Linked DNA regions of Diceros bicornis minor. The protein of the gene in region 1 binds, or shares a complex with, the protein of each later gene. Links are inferred from orthologs where the notes say so. Each region holds a gene or a part of one and is shown in the gene's direction. Other genes may lie near its edges.

Region 1 (7,599 bases):
GAGGATTGGCCCTGACCACGAGCTGGGAGGAAAGGAGGTGTGTCTACAACTCGGTCTCGGGTTCTCTGCCTGCCTCTTTTTACATCATGATGGAGCGACGACACCGGGACCTATAGCGTCATCCAGGAGCGCCAGGTGGCTAAAGGTAATGGTGGCGTGCTGAGCCCAGCGGAGCCTGGCCATCGTCATGGCCCTGCGGGTAGTGACGCGCGCTCTGGGCTCTCTGAGCCTCACGCCCCCGGCAGCCGCCGTCCCCAGCCCGAGCCTGCTCTCGGCCACCCAGGTAATCCTACTGACCTGGAAATGAGGCTGTTTCGGTTCGGGCCGCCGGAGAGGGGGCACTGGGGATGGGAGGCAGGGAACGCGAGGCTGGTCAGGAGTCATGCCGGCCTGTGACCTTGGATAAGTCGCTCTCAGCCTCAGCTTTCCTCTGTAGGTGTTGCTGTCTCACAGGGCCGCTGGATTCCTCAGACGAGCTATTGGAGGTGAAAGTGCTTTACAGATCACCCGTTGTACAGGTTTCAATAATAATTGATATTTGTTGAGTGCCTATCATAAGCTTAGCAAAAATAATAGACGTTTTAAATAAATGAACTCCTTTCAACCAGTCTGTAAGGTAGTTACTATCATTCCCATTTTACATATGAGAAAACTGGTAAGCAGTCCAAGGTCACATATCAGTTATCCAACCTAGGCAGTTTGGCTTTAAAGCCTGGGCTCTTAACCATTATGATAAGCATTAAGGATGAGTTATTGCTGAGATTAGAGAATGCAGGGCAAGAAACCAGAATAGGACCCTAAAGAGAACATATCACAAGGTCCCCAGTGGGTGATTAGTGAATCACAGAAAAGAGAAGTTGTAAATCTTGCTCCTCTGGACCTTTCAAGCTGATGGTAGTTTGGCAGATGAATACTTAAAATTCAAAACCAAACCAACCTACTCTGTGAAATGCTGGGAATACAGCAGGGAACAAGAAAGAAATGATCCTTCTCCATTCATATCTGAAAAACTCACAGAAACATAATGCAGATGGGCAAAAGGTATTGGTGCTAATGGTGGTACATGGATGTGTGGAAGTTACCAGCTCTGGAGAAGGGAGTTGTTTAGGAAAGGAGAAGTTTCCTGGAGAGAGTTTTGAGCCAAATTTGGAAGGAAGTGCACCAAGGGGAGAACATTCCAGTGAAGAAGTACTTCAGAGGTGAGAAGATCAAATGAGGAGAGGTAATCAATACACACACCTGTGGATAAACATTCTGCATTGTTATTTGTGCAAGTGGTAAAGAGTGGAGTTTTGGGACAGCTAATCTAGAACACTTCCAGGAGGAAGTCGGCTACAAGCTAAACTTAATCTGTGCCCTCTCCCTTGATTCTCTGGTGCTTCTCCTTCAATTAGCTTTAAAGTGAAAAAGATTTTTGTTAATCTCTAGGTAACAAAAAATGCCCTCCTCCAGCTGCCCACTGCCTCGATGTTGCTTCCCTGCCGCCCACTCCTTACCTCTGTGGCCCTTAGTGCCAATTTTGTTTCCTGGAAGAGTCGTACCAAGTACACCATCACACCAGTGAAGATGAGGAAGTCTGGGGGCCGAGACCACACAGGTGGGAACAAGGGCAATAGGATTTAAGCAGTAAAGAGGGAAAACATGGTAGGATCCTAGGTCTGTATATAGATACAGGCAGAGGAATGTAATTAAAAAGCATTTATTAGGGGGCTGGCCCCATGGTGTAGTGGTTAGGTTCAGCGTGCTCCGCTTTGGTGGCCCGGGTTCATGGGTTTGGATCCTGGGCACGGACCTACACCACTTGTCAGCCATGCTGTGGTGGTGTCCCACATGCAAAATAGAGGAAGATTGGCAGGGATGTTAGCTCTAGTGAATCTTCCCCGAGCGAAAAGAGGAAGATTGGCAACAGATGTTAGCTCATAGCGAATCTTTCTCAACAACAACAACAAAAAAACATTTATTAGACTCCAGCATATACTATATGTGTAAGAGTGAGAGAGTAGAATTCAAAGCAACAGACAAGTGGTCTGTGCTCCTAAAGACAATCTAGGTACTTGAAGAAAACCGGACATACACAGGGAGTTCCATGACATTTTTCTTCGCACCCTTCAAAAACTTAACAACAGTTGAAATTGAGCACTATTTACATGGCTCTCAGTAAACTTACTGAAATCAGTAATTTGTAGAGATTTTATCTGGAAGTTTTATACAATTTCAATATCATATAATTGTGTTTTTACCAAGCTCCTTGTAGATGTTTCCCCATCCCTATTGACCCCATTGTACTGTGCAAGTTTTTATAATTTTCTGCTTGTGTCATAATGTTGGGAAGCACTGCTCTCTCCCAGGATGGGCCTGTTCCCAATGCTGGGAGCTGATTCATCTGACCTGGGTCATGTCCCCACACTGTCCTGACCATAGGCCGAATCCAAGTGCATGGTATTGGCGGGGGCCACAAGCAACGCTATCGTATGATTGACTTTCTGCGGTTCCGGCCTGAGCAGGCAACCAAGCCAGGACCCTTTGAGGAGAAGGTTGTCACTGTCCGCTATGATCCCTGTAGGCAAGTTTGGGATGTGGGGTGATGATGGCGTGGCTGAATGACTGCTCTGTGGCTTTTCAGAAGATGTAGGGCTGCCTAGATGGTCTGCTCACCCGAACCTCACCCTGAACAGGTCAGCAGACATAGCTCTGGTTGCTGGGGGCAGCCGGAAACGCTGGATCATTGCCACAGAAAACATGCAGGCTGGAGATATAATCCTGAACTCTGACCACATAGGCCGAATGGCAGGTGAGAGATGTCTGCCAGATGTGTGTGGGCTGGGAGGCTGCAAGGGTTCTGGTGCTGATGAAATTCCATCTTTTAGTTGCTGCTCGGGAAGGAGATGCACATCCTCTTGGGGCCTTGCCTGTAGGGACCCTCATCAACAACGTGGAGAGTGAGCCAGGCCGGGGAGCTCAGTATATCCGTGCCGCAGGTATAAAGAAGGAAGCTACTTGGGGTTTTACAATTTGGAAGGCCAGAGGGTACCTGAGGTCACAATTCTCTGGACCCACGGGCTCACATCTGGTCCACTGGCAGAGCAAAAGAAGGAAAAAACAAGGCAAATGAGGATGAAGAGGTGCTTGTGTTTTGACCTAACATATTACATACATCCTGCTTCAGTGTATCTGCTCCCAAAGGGCAAAGCAAGTGGTGTGGGGTGTGGTGTATGGCCCTCTGTAAAACTCTTCCCCACCTCCTCCACTGTGGAGGGTAGCACAGCTGCTTCTCCCTTTCCCAGGGACATGTGGTGTGCTGCTACGGAAGGTGAATGGGACGGCCATCATCCAGCTGCCCTCTAAGAGGCAGATGCAGGTATGTGTGTGGGTACAGGTGGGAGGGATCAGCACAGAAGCTTTTGGAATGTACCTTTCCTGTGCCGGATAGCTCCCAGGGGTTTTATGTTAGGAACTGCTGTGAGCTGGGTCTGTCCTCTTATGCCATGTGACTAGGCATACCTTGTCAGGCTAACACCATGGTGGAATAGGATACAGTGTCTTTGGTTTTCAGCTACTGTAGGACCCGCGCTCAGGTTCAAGTACGTTGTGCTTTTCCCCTGCCCTCTCCCTTCTCTCATTGAGTGTAAGAAGCCTCCCAAGAATCCAGGCCCTCAACAGTGTCAGGCCCTTTCCCCCTATGTGCATTCTTCTCCATCTGCTTTCTCTGTCAGGTGCTGGATACGTGCATAGCAACAGTAGGCCGAGTATCCAACGTTGATCATAACAAACGGGTCATCGGCAAGGCTGGGCGGAACCGCTGGCTGGGCAAGAGGCCTAACAGCGGGCTATGGCACCGCAAGGGTGGCTGGGCTGGCCGAAAGATTCGGCCGCTGCCCCCCATGAAGAGTTACGTGAAGCTGCCCTCAGCTGCTGCCCAAAGCTGATATCCCTGGACGTTAATAAAATGGCCCCCCATTTTTATCTGTTACTGTTTTTTTGGGAGGGAGGATGGTACATACTGGACTGGGAACAAAACAGGAGCAAACAACTGAGATGGGAGGAGAAAGGAAAGGATAATGTGGGGGAAAGACTGAAGCTGCTCCCCCCTCATTTCCAGCCGCCCCCTTGTCTCAGTTCTTTACATGTAATGGAGGAGGGGGAATAAATGACCTCCAGCGTCTTTCTCAGTTCTGACTTTGGGAACGGGAAAGGCACTTCCGGTGGCAGGAGGGAGGACCAGGAGGAAGAGGAAAGGGCGGCGCAGAGGAGGAGGTGCCGCGCGTCGCCGCGGTGGCACCGGCGGCTCCGCCCCAGCGCTGTCTCAAGGCCCCCACCTTTCCGCTGGGCCCGGCGGAAATGAGCCGCGGCTCCGGGCGGGCGGCGCCGCTGGTGGGACCAGGCCCCGCCCTGCCCTGCCCTGCCCTGCCCCGCCCCGCCCCAGCGGCCGCGAACCTGCGCGCGGGCGGTGACACTGGCCCGGCCCCAGGGCGCTCGCCCTGCGCGCCACGCCCCCTGCCCGGCACGCCCCCTCCCACCTCTCCGCCTCGACCCCCTCAGGGGGCCCAGGCGGGGCCCAAATCTCTGCCAGCGTCGCCGCCATCGTCTGCGCCGCGTCCCTAGCTCTGCGAAGGACAGGCCTCGCGCCAGGACCCCCATCGACTTCTGAGGTGGCCAAAGCCCCGCCGCGGCCCCTGCCCCTACCCTGGGTTATCCTCCGCCCATTCGCCCAGCGAGCCTCGCGCTCACCGGACCTCGCGTCTCCCCCTTCCATCGTACCTCGGGATTCCCGTTTATCCGGCCTAGCCCCCTCCCCCGCACCTTGCCGCGCGCCCCTGGCTTCTCGGGCCTTCGACCCGGGCCACCAAGCTTCGCGCCCGTCACCCACCGTGTCTGCTGTGCCCCCTGTTCCGGTCCTCGCGTCACCCCCCCAGCCTTGCTCTCCAGTGCCTCCAGTCATCAGCGCTTGCAGCCCACCGACCCCTCCTCCCGGCCCATCGCGCCTTGCGCCCCCACTGCACCACCAATACTATGGGTCTCTTGTCTCTGCGACTCACGCTCTTGTGCTTCAACCGTTAGAGCTAGCCCCTCTTCCCATACACACTCAGGGTCTCTCTCCCCAACGCCCCCCAAACACACCCTCCTCTGGGCTTTGCATAGCGCCTTCCCAAGGCTGCTGCAGCCTGTCCCAGGGCCTTGGGACTTGTAACTCCAAGGCTGCCCTGTCCCCACGGTCCCCTTCCCACTGCTCCAAACCAACCCTCTCCAGGCTGCAGGGCCTTGGACCCTCCTTTTAGCTCCCAAATTTTGTGTTCTCTCAGAACAAACACCACAGTGTTCCTCTGCTTAGGCCTGGCTCCACCCAGCCTGCATCAGGCAACTCCTGGGCCCTGCTTTACCCCACCCAGCCTGACAACTGTTCCCACATTTGTTTCCCCAACTTCTGGATGTCCTTGGTTTTCTGACCTCCCCTCTCACTCTAGCTTGCCTGTTCTCTTTTTCTTGTGTGTCCCAGGTGCCAAGATGGTGGGGGAGCTCCGCTACAGGGAATTCAGAGTGCCCCTGGGGCCTGGCTTGCACGCCTATCCTGACGAGCTGATCCGCCAGCGGGTGGGCCACGATGGGCATCCTGAGTACCAGATCCGCTGGCTCATCCTCAGGCGTGGAGATGATGGGGAAGGGGGCTCTAGCCAAGTGGATTGCAAGGCTGAGCACATCCTGCTATGGATGTCCAACGACGAGATCTATGCCAACTGCCACAAGATGCTGGGCGAGGACGGCCAGGTCATCGGGCCCTCCCAGGAGACCACAGGGGAGTCTGGGGCCCTGGACAAATCTGTGCTGGGGGAGATGGAAACTGATGTGAAGTCTCTGATTCAGAGGGCGCTTCGGCAGCTGGAGGAGTGTGTGGGCACCATCCCTCCTGCTCCTCTGCTTCACACTGTCCACGTGCTCAGTGCCTACGCCAGCATCGAGCCCCTCACTGGGGTGTTCAAAGACCCAAGGGTCCTGGACTTGCTCATGCACATGTTGAGTAGTCCTGATTATCAGATTCGCTGGAGCGCGGGCCGGATGATACAAGCTCTGGCCTCCCATGATGCTGGTGAGGAGCAGTGTTGGGGGGAAGAGGGAGCAGGAGAGGGGCTGGGTCGGCTCAGGGCCTCACAGGACACAGTGCAGGAACCTCTGACTTCATCAGTACGTAAACAATTCTGTTGCCCTTCTCTTAGAGTTGGAAAAACAGAAGTTGGGAAGGTGGGTGCAGGCATCTCTGCAGAAAGAGGAAAGACTGAGTCCTCAAGAACTTCATATTAGTTGGCTTTCTATGCAAAGGAAGAGTTCAGAGTTTAGACTGTTAGCCTATTGTAGGAGATAGGTAGATGTGAAAAAGATAGCAAGTTTTGGCTTTTGAAGCAAATCGTATCGTTCCTTGTGTGTAGTGGCAAAAAGATTGGACTGAGAGTAGAGGGTCTAGAAGAGATGCCTGGAAAGGGTGGGGTTAGGGAGCTGTTACTGATTGGGGTGTGGGTTTCAGGGACTCGGACCCAGATCCTTCTATCACTGAGCCAACAAGAGGCCATTGAGAAACACCTGGATTTTGACAGCCGCTGTGCTCTGCTGGCTCTGTTTGCACAGGCCACACTCTCTGAACACCCCATGTCTTTTGAGGGTGTTCAACTGCCGCAGGTATTCTGTGGGGGGCGTTGTGGGGAAGCTATGAACAAGATCTAGGGACCAAGCCTTTGCACCTGTCCGTAGAGGACGGTGTGGAGAGAGGGGCTGAAGCTGGGACAAGGTGGACATAGTCCACATAGGTGGACAAAGATTGCGTCCTACAGGTCCCAGGAAGGCTGCTCTTCTCCCTGGTGAAGCGCTATTTGCATGTCACCTTCCTCCTGGATAAGCTGAATGACAGTGCTGCAGAACCAGGAGCCCAGAACAACTCTGCTCCCGAGGAGTTGAGTGGGGAGAGGGGTCGGCTGGAGCTGGAGTTCAGCATGGCCATGGGCACCCTGATCTCAGAGCTGGTGCAGGCCATGCGCTGGGACTGGGCCTCAAGCAGACAGGGGCCCTTGGCACGGTCTTCCTGTTCCATCTTCCAGCCCCAGCTGGCAGATGCGGGCCCAGGGCTGCCACCCGCCCAGGCCTCCCTCAGGAGGTCGAGGCGGTTTCGCCCTCGCTCTGAGTTCGCAAGTGGCAATACCTATGCCCTGTACGTGCGGGATACACTGCAGCCAGGGATGCGCGTGCGGATGCTGGATGATTACGAGGAGATCAGTGCTGGGGACGAGGGCGAGTTCCGTCAGAGCAACAGCGGCGTGCCCCCTGTGCAGGTGAGCCAGCGCAGGATGGTGGGACACTGCTAGGGATCTCTCTTGTGTGGGGCATAGCTGGGGCTTCATGCAGGGGGCTCTGGCAGGCCACCCAGGGAGAAAACTCTCAGTAAGATTGGGATGGTAAAATGGGGGTCGGCAGTTGCGGGGGGCCACTTGGAGGGCTGAGAAAATCTGGGTTTAGGAGGCTATGAGGTGAGGAAGACTCTCCTAGGAAGAAACTGATACAGCAAGACTTTCCCAAAGGTCAGAGTCAGGGAAACAGGGTGGTTGAGGCCAGGAGAAA
Region 2 (7,059 bases), on another chromosome or scaffold:
TCTGGATGTTGAAGACTGAGGACAAATCTGGTGACTGTGCCAAGGTTACAAGTGTCACCTGGGAGAGAAGACTTCGGGGACTGCCCACCCACCTTGCTCCCCACTCCACCCCACCTCAGGCAACTGGGCAAATAAAGGAGGCTTCCAAGGGTGGGGTTGGAATCTAGGGAACCCGAGTGAGTCAAAGCTTGGCTCTGCCATTTCCTGGCTGTGTGACCTTCTTTGGCCTCAGTGTTTCTCATCCGGAAAATGGGAATAACACTTGCTCAGGAGGGGGTGTATGGATTAAAAGAGAAAATGCACAGGGGCAGGGGCAAAGTAGATGCTCAATAAAAGTGAATTATCATCAGTGTTATGACGTTCCAGGCTTGTGGACACACACAAAGGTGCAAGCTGTCACGGAAAAAGAAAACTGCGATGGATCTGCATGCACTGATTCAGAAAGACTTCAAGACATGCTATTCAGGGAAAAAAGCAAGTTTTCTAGCAATAGATCTAGTGCAAGCCCCTCATTCATTCATCAAATATTTTGAGCACCTACCCATGCTGTTCTAGACGCTGAGAATTCAGCGGTGAGCCAAACCAGACAAATATCTCTGCCTTGGTGGGGCTAATGCTCTAACAGGGAGAGACAATAAATAAATAAGAAAATACCAGGAAGTGATAAGTACTGTGATGAAAATAATTCAGAATGATGTGAAAAATCCCCAGGGGGTAAATTCTAAAGTTACTAAAATATACTAATGTAAGCATTTGTTTTTTCCCTGAGAGATATTTAACTGTGGCTACTTTAGCGGGAGAGGCTGGGGACTTGCCGCTGGGGGAGGGAGACGTTTTTCATTGTACACCTTTCTGTAACTTAAGCATTTTCTTCGCATATGTGTGCATCACTTTTATTATTATTATTATTGTTTAAAATGGCAACCAAGTGGAGCTGGGTAGAGAGATTAGGGCCAAGTTTTGTTTTCTTCCCTCAATCTTTTCTGATTTTTCGTTTCTTTTAAACAAATAGAAAAGCAGGAGGTGTAATTATCGTGGTTTTTTTTTCCTAGGACGGCTAGAGAAAGATCTTGCCCGCCAGCGATCTGGGAATCTCAAACACCCCCAGCGGAACTGCTCAGGGGTTGGCAATTTTTATGAGCATGTTGAACATTTGAGGTTTTCATTTCTAGGATAATCCTTCCTTCTCCCACCAAAAAAAAAAAAATCCTTTTACCAATATCTCATCTGGGAGGTCTTTCCTGCTTGGGAGGTGGTGTCTTTATTTCTCAGACCTGGATTCTTTAGCCAGAATTTCTCAAACGGGTGTCCTAGGGACTTTTAGTTTGGGGCCTCTGCGAAGCAGCTGTTCAGGGAAGCAGATTTTGGGGATCAGGCGGAAGCAAGGGATAAGAAGCCGATAAGAGGCTCTGTCCCGCCCCCGCCCTCCGCCAGCGCCCCGCAGTCTCAGAGAGGACTCGCGCCTAGCAACGCGTCTCCTCGTTGCCATGGAGACGGTTAGGAGGCGGGGCGAGAAACCGCGCATCAGGGAGGGGCCGGGTGGCGGGAGGCCCCGCGGGAGCTGAGTGCGGGGGCTGGGACGGCGCCTTGAGAAGGAGGAGGAGAAAATCCAGTGAAGCCTGACGGCCCAGCTCTGCAAAAACGAAAACAACCCGAATGAGCCGATAATTGTGCAAAGGCCTCCCTGAGGCCTTAACCGCCCCTCACCCCCCAAGCATCTCCCTTCCTTCTTTTCCTCTTTCCCTTCCCTTTCTTTTGTCTCCCATCCCTCTGTCTCTAAACATCTGCCTGGTTCCTTCAGGAGTTAAATAAAACCACACAGCGTGAGTTAAACAAAATTATACGTGTTCATTTTCATCCCTTATATTAAAGTCATCAGTGTACCTGTTTTGTTGTGGTGGTTGGAATTTTTCTTTTAACAGTTGTATTTCACTATAATTGGCATTTAAAAACTACCCTGGAAAGGGCTCATGGCACAGAAAGGGTTAAGGATTCCTGGGCTAGAGGGCCCTGGAGAGGGTGGAGGCCACTCTTTGAGTTTAGCGGGGAAAAGGGAGGCAGAATGACCTCTCTAAAAAGGTGAGATTGGAGCAGAGAGAGATTGCCAAGAGGCGATGCGGCAGAACATTTCTGCGTGGAGGGAACAGCATGTGCAAAGGCCCTGAGGTGGGGGACAAGCCTAGTGTGTTGCAGGAACAGCGAAGACGAGGCAGGTGTGGCTGGAGTGGAGTGAGCGAGGAGAGGAAGAGAGAGGGAAGTGGCGAGATCTTGTAGGGCTTCGTGGACCATGGTGAAGACTTTGGCTTTACTCTGAGTGCGATGGAGGATTTTAAAAAGAGTAGAGACAGATCTGACTTAAGTTTTTGAACGATCCCTCTAGCTGCTGGGTTGGGGATGATGTAAGATGAGAGTGAAGGGCACCTTACCCTCTATCTCTGAGGATTCATAACAACAGGACTGTTCAGCACATCGCAGGATGTCTGGTTCCAAGGAAACCCTCTGTGCAAGTTAACTGTTATTATTACTCTTACTCTTGCCTTTGTTGTTGTTGGTTTTTTTGTGGGGAGATCAGCCCTGTGCTAACATCTGCCAACATCTGCCAATCCTCCAATCCTCCTCCTCTTCCTCTTTTTTTTTTGCGGAGGATGACTGGCCCTGGGCTAACATCCGTGCCCATCTTCCTCTACTTTATATGGGACGCTGCCACAGCATGGCTTGCCAAGCAGTGCGTAGGTGCGCGCCTGGGATCCGGCCCGGGAACCCCGGGCCGCCGCATCGGAGCGGGCGCACTTAACCGCTTGCGCCACCCAGCCGGCCCCTGCCTTTGTTGTTGTGCATGTCTTTGCTGAGCTGGCTGCCTCAGAGTCACCTGGGAAGTTTTGCAAACTCTGGTCCCATGTCTTAGAGATCCTGACCTGCTATATCTGTGGCTGAGTCTGAGGGCTTTTCGTTTAATTTATGTGAATTAACATTTTTGATTGCTAAAAATCCAAGCAATGCAAAAGAATATAGAGTGGAAAGCATATGTCTCTGCCGCCTCTGGGAGTCCGCAGTCCCCTTCCCAGAAACAGCCACTGTGGGCAGTGCCTGTACATGTGACAAGCACATGTGCACACCTAGGCCCTACACACACACACACACACACACACAGACTGTTTCAGATTCAAATCCAGATTCCATCCTCCTTGGCCGTGTGACCTTGAGCAAATGATTTTATATCCTCAGCTATAAAACGGGAAGGATCAACATATTACCTGTCTCATAAGGTTAGGGGGAGGATTTCATGAGTTAATTCATAGAAAGCTCTTAGAATGGTGCCTAGGACATGGAAGTGCCCTGTAAAACATGACTAGCCTTCTTTTTCATAGCTGCGTAGTATTTCACTATCAGATTAGACCATAAAATTGAATCAGCCCCCCCCATGAACAATTAGGTTCATTCATTGGCTCAAAAATATTTATTGAGCACGAACTTGTGCCAAGCCCCACACTAGGGGCTGGTGCACTAAGACCCTGGTACCAATTTCTCCCCCCAAATGTATGGGGTAGGTACATAGGAATTGCGGGTACCAGAAGTCACGCGATTTTAAGTGGTAATATGTAGCGTGTATGGCCTTCAAAAGGACGGCCTTATTAGCACACCCACCTCCGGCGCTTGGCTGGAACCCGCACGTTTAGGGTGGCAGGTTTGGGAAAGGATGAGAAACGACGGTCTGTGTCGGGAAAGGTGCTGACGTGGGCCTCGGAGCGCGTTCCGCTTGGAAGCGGTGGCCCCAGCGAGGTCCGGGGCGCGGCCACACCCCTGTGCGGGAGGGGAGTGAGGGCGCCCCGAAGGGAGTGGACAGCCCCCCTGTCAGTCTTCCCGAGTCAGGAGTGTAAGCTGAGAAGGGGGAAGGTGGGCCTCGTTGGAGAAGGGCGAGGAGGAACTTCCTGCCCGCGCGCGCTCCTCGGCACTGAGCGCGCGGGCTGGGAGGCGGGACGCGCCTGAAGGTCAGCCTGGCCGGGGGTGGCAGCCTGTCTAGGGGCGGGAGACCCTCCTGGGGGCTGGGCTGCGGCCTCCAAGTGCTTCGGCCATATTGAATAGCCAGCCGTCTTTGTCTGCAAAGTCCTCTCCCAAGTTCCAGGCGCGTCCCTGGTGCCCGGGGCAGGAAGAGCCACGGGCAGCCCGTGCGCCCCACCACGTTGGCAGCTCGCGGTGGGCTTGGAGCTCAGGACTGACCTCACCCCGGCTCACGTAAGCGTCCTGGGAATCGATTCCCACCAGCCCTTGGGGGGAGCCAGACTTGGTCAAGACCGGACTGGCTGCAGGCAGAGAAATTGGGAAGTGTTGGTTCATCCCTGGCTGGGGAGGCGAGACTTTCCAGGCTGCTCTGCTGGGACCTCACTCCCACCCCCAAGACTAGGGGCTTCGTGTAGTTTGGGCTCGTGGCCCCCACCCCATATTTCACCCTGGAGATCTTAAAGACCCTCGAGAAGAGCCATGTGGGGGGCTGGTTCCCTTGGGGCTTCCTCCCCTCCCCCGACTGCCTGATTCTCTGGAGCGTCCCCGATGTCTGCAAAGACGTGGATTTGGACGTCCTCGTGGACGCCTTGAAGCCCGTGGGGACCTTTAAGAAGATCGGCAAGGTGTTCCGCAGGGAGGAGGACTCCACAGTGGGGATGCTCCAGATTGGGGAGGACGTGGACTATCTGCTCATCCCCCGGGAGGTCAGGCTGGCCGGGGGCGTCTGGAGGGTCATCTCCAAGCCCGCCACCAAGGAGGCGGAATTCCGGGAGCGGCTGACCCAGTTTCTGGAGGAAGAAGGCCGCACCCTCGAGGACGTGGCCCGCATCATTGAGAAGAGCACCCCGCACCCACCCCAGCCCCCCCCAAAGCCGAAGGAGCCCCGAGGGAGGAGAGTCCAGCAGATGGTGACCCCGCCCCCCAGGCTGGTCGTGGGCACCTACGACAGCAGTAACGCCAGCGACAGCGAGTTCAGTGACTTCGAGACCTCCAGGGACAAGGGTGACCAGGGCCCCAAAAGCCCGGGATGCCGCAGGAGGGTGCGCAGAATGCCCGTCAGCTACCTGGGCAGCAAATTCCTCGGGAGCGACCTGGAGAGCGAGGAGGACGAGGAGCTGGTGGAGGCCTTCCTCCGGCGAGGGGACAAGAAGCCCAGCGCCCCACCACCCCGCCGCCGCGTGGCCCTGCCCGTGCCCGTGTTCGACAACAGCCCGGAGCCCCAGCTGTCCAAGGCGGACAGGTGGCGGGAGTATGTCAGCCAGGTGTCCTGGGGGAACCTGAAGCACAGGGTGAAGTGTTGGGCGCCCAGGTCCAGCCCCGGGGTGGGCGAGGCCCAGCAGGCCTCAGCCAGGGTGGAGAGGGAGGGGGCAGCGGCGCTGGGCAGCGCCCATCACGTGGGGAGCGCGGGAGACGGGCGGGTGCCTGGGACCCCCCCAAGGCGATGGAGGCCCAAGATGAACTGGGCCTCGTTCCGGCGGCGCAGGAGAGAGGCAGCCGCATCCACAGCTCAGGTGGCGGAGGCTGCAGAGGATCAGAGGGCGGAGGCTGCAGATAATCAGAGGGCGGAGGCTGCAGCTAATCAGAGGGCGGGGGCCATAGGTGTCCAGAGAGCAGAGGCCCCAGCTGTCCAGAGGGCAGAGGTTGCAGATAATCAGAGGGCAGGGGCCCCAGCTGTCCAGAGGGCAGAGGTTGCAGATAATCAGAGGGCAGGGGGCCCAGCTGTCCAGAGGGCAGAGGTTGCAGATAATCAGAGGGCAGGGGGCCCAGCTGGCCGGAGGGCAGAGGTTGCAGATAATCAGAGGGCAGGGGCCCCAGCTGTCCAGGGAGCACAGGCTGCATCTAATGGGGCAGAGGCCATAGCTGACCAGAGGGCAGAGGCCCCAGCCATCCAGGAAGCTGAAGCCTCAGCTGCCCGGGGGGCCACGGGGGCAACCTCAGGAGCCAGGACCCGGAAACAGGTCAAGACAGTGAGGTTCCAGACCCCCGGACGCTTTTCATGGTTTCGAAAGCACCGGAGAGCCTTCTGGCACACTCCCCGATTGCCAGCCCTGCCCAAGCGAGTCCCCAGGGCAGGCGAGGCCAGGCACCTCAGGGTGCTGAGGGCCGAGGCCAGAGCAGAAGCAGAGCAGGGAGAACAAGAAGACCAGCTGTGAGGTGAGGGCGGGGGGCCGCGGGGCACCCCACCACCTGCCTCTCGCACGCTTGTCAGAGATGCTCTCTCTGCCTCCACGCTTGAAGATGGAGGTGGGGAGAGGGGCAGACAGCGCCCCTCACATCTCCACCCAACACTCCCCTTTCTTTTCTTGTTCAAGTTTTATCTTTCATGTGTTGATTTTTTAAGTACAGACTCCTGTAGTAATCCAAAGAATGTAAAGAAAGAAACCCACCCAATGGGGTTGCATCGCCCACGTTTTTAACTTCCTCAAATGCAACCCTAGGTGCTCAGCTTGGAAAAGGGACAGAGGTGGGGGAGAAATGCTCCTTGAACTTGGCACAAGCCAACTTGCAAATAAAAACATTTACAAACTGACTTCTTGACTTCGGACCTGGCCACTGAAGAAACCTCCGGGGTGCTTTGGTCACGCCCTGGTGTCGTGTCTACTCCCACTCTCCATGATGCTGACACTCTGCCAGCCATCCCCACGCCCCTGGGTTCTGCCGGCTAGGAGTCTGGGGTCTGCGGTTCACACACCTCACCCGACCCTGATTCCCAGGTACAGAAGAAGCATTCCGGAAACATGTCCAAAATGCAGATTCTGGGGCCCTTCATGCCAGAGCTGTGGATTTGCTTGAGCTGGCTGTGCAGCCCTAGAATCTCTGTTGATCACGCCCCACAAACATCTGGGGCATCTTGGCCCCTGGACATGTTGAAAATCATTGCAATGGGAACAGGCCCCCAAGGCGGGTTGTGGTGTAGCACTGTGTAGGGTCCTGTGACTGGTGCTTGCCATGGGGAGAGATCGGGTTGCTAAGGCCCCGTGGGAGCTGGGGGGCATCTCTGTATTGTCTTGCGTCCTCCCCCCCCCCCACAGCCCCATCAGTGAACAACAGACCAGC

What was found. Proteins that work in one complex are often made in the same cells at the same time.
Region 2: CUL7 (region 1) and CCDC8 share a complex: the UniProt entries of both Homo sapiens proteins name them as parts of the 3M complex. The link is inferred for Diceros bicornis minor from reciprocal best matches to the Homo sapiens genes CUL7 and CCDC8.

Annotation. Positions count from the first base shown.
Region 1 is NC_080753.1:22,623,965-22,631,563, forward strand, and holds the start of CUL7 (cullin-7), read left to right. Parts: upstream 1-4,554; 5' UTR 4,555-4,649; intron 4,650-5,494; 5' UTR 5,495-5,502; coding exon 5,503-6,082; intron 6,083-6,514; coding exon 6,515-6,666; intron 6,667-6,818; coding exon 6,819-7,313; intron 7,314-7,599. Other genes in the region: MRPL2 (large ribosomal subunit protein uL2m), read left to right, coding at 188-283, 1,429-1,597, 2,422-2,563, 2,676-2,791, 2,868-2,978, 3,285-3,358, 3,714-3,926. UniProt on the Homo sapiens protein: Core component of the 3M and Cul7-RING(FBXW8) complexes, which mediate the ubiquitination and subsequent proteasomal degradation of target proteins. Core component of the 3M complex, a complex required to regulate microtubule dynamics and genome integrity.
Region 2 is NC_080773.1:21,981,430-21,988,488, reverse strand, and holds CCDC8 (coiled-coil domain-containing protein 8), read left to right. Parts: upstream 1-3,977; 5' UTR 3,978-4,658; coding exon 4,659-6,155; 3' UTR 6,156-6,988; downstream 6,989-7,059. UniProt on the Homo sapiens protein: Core component of the 3M complex, a complex required to regulate microtubule dynamics and genome integrity. It is unclear how the 3M complex regulates microtubules, it could act by controlling the level of a microtubule stabilizer.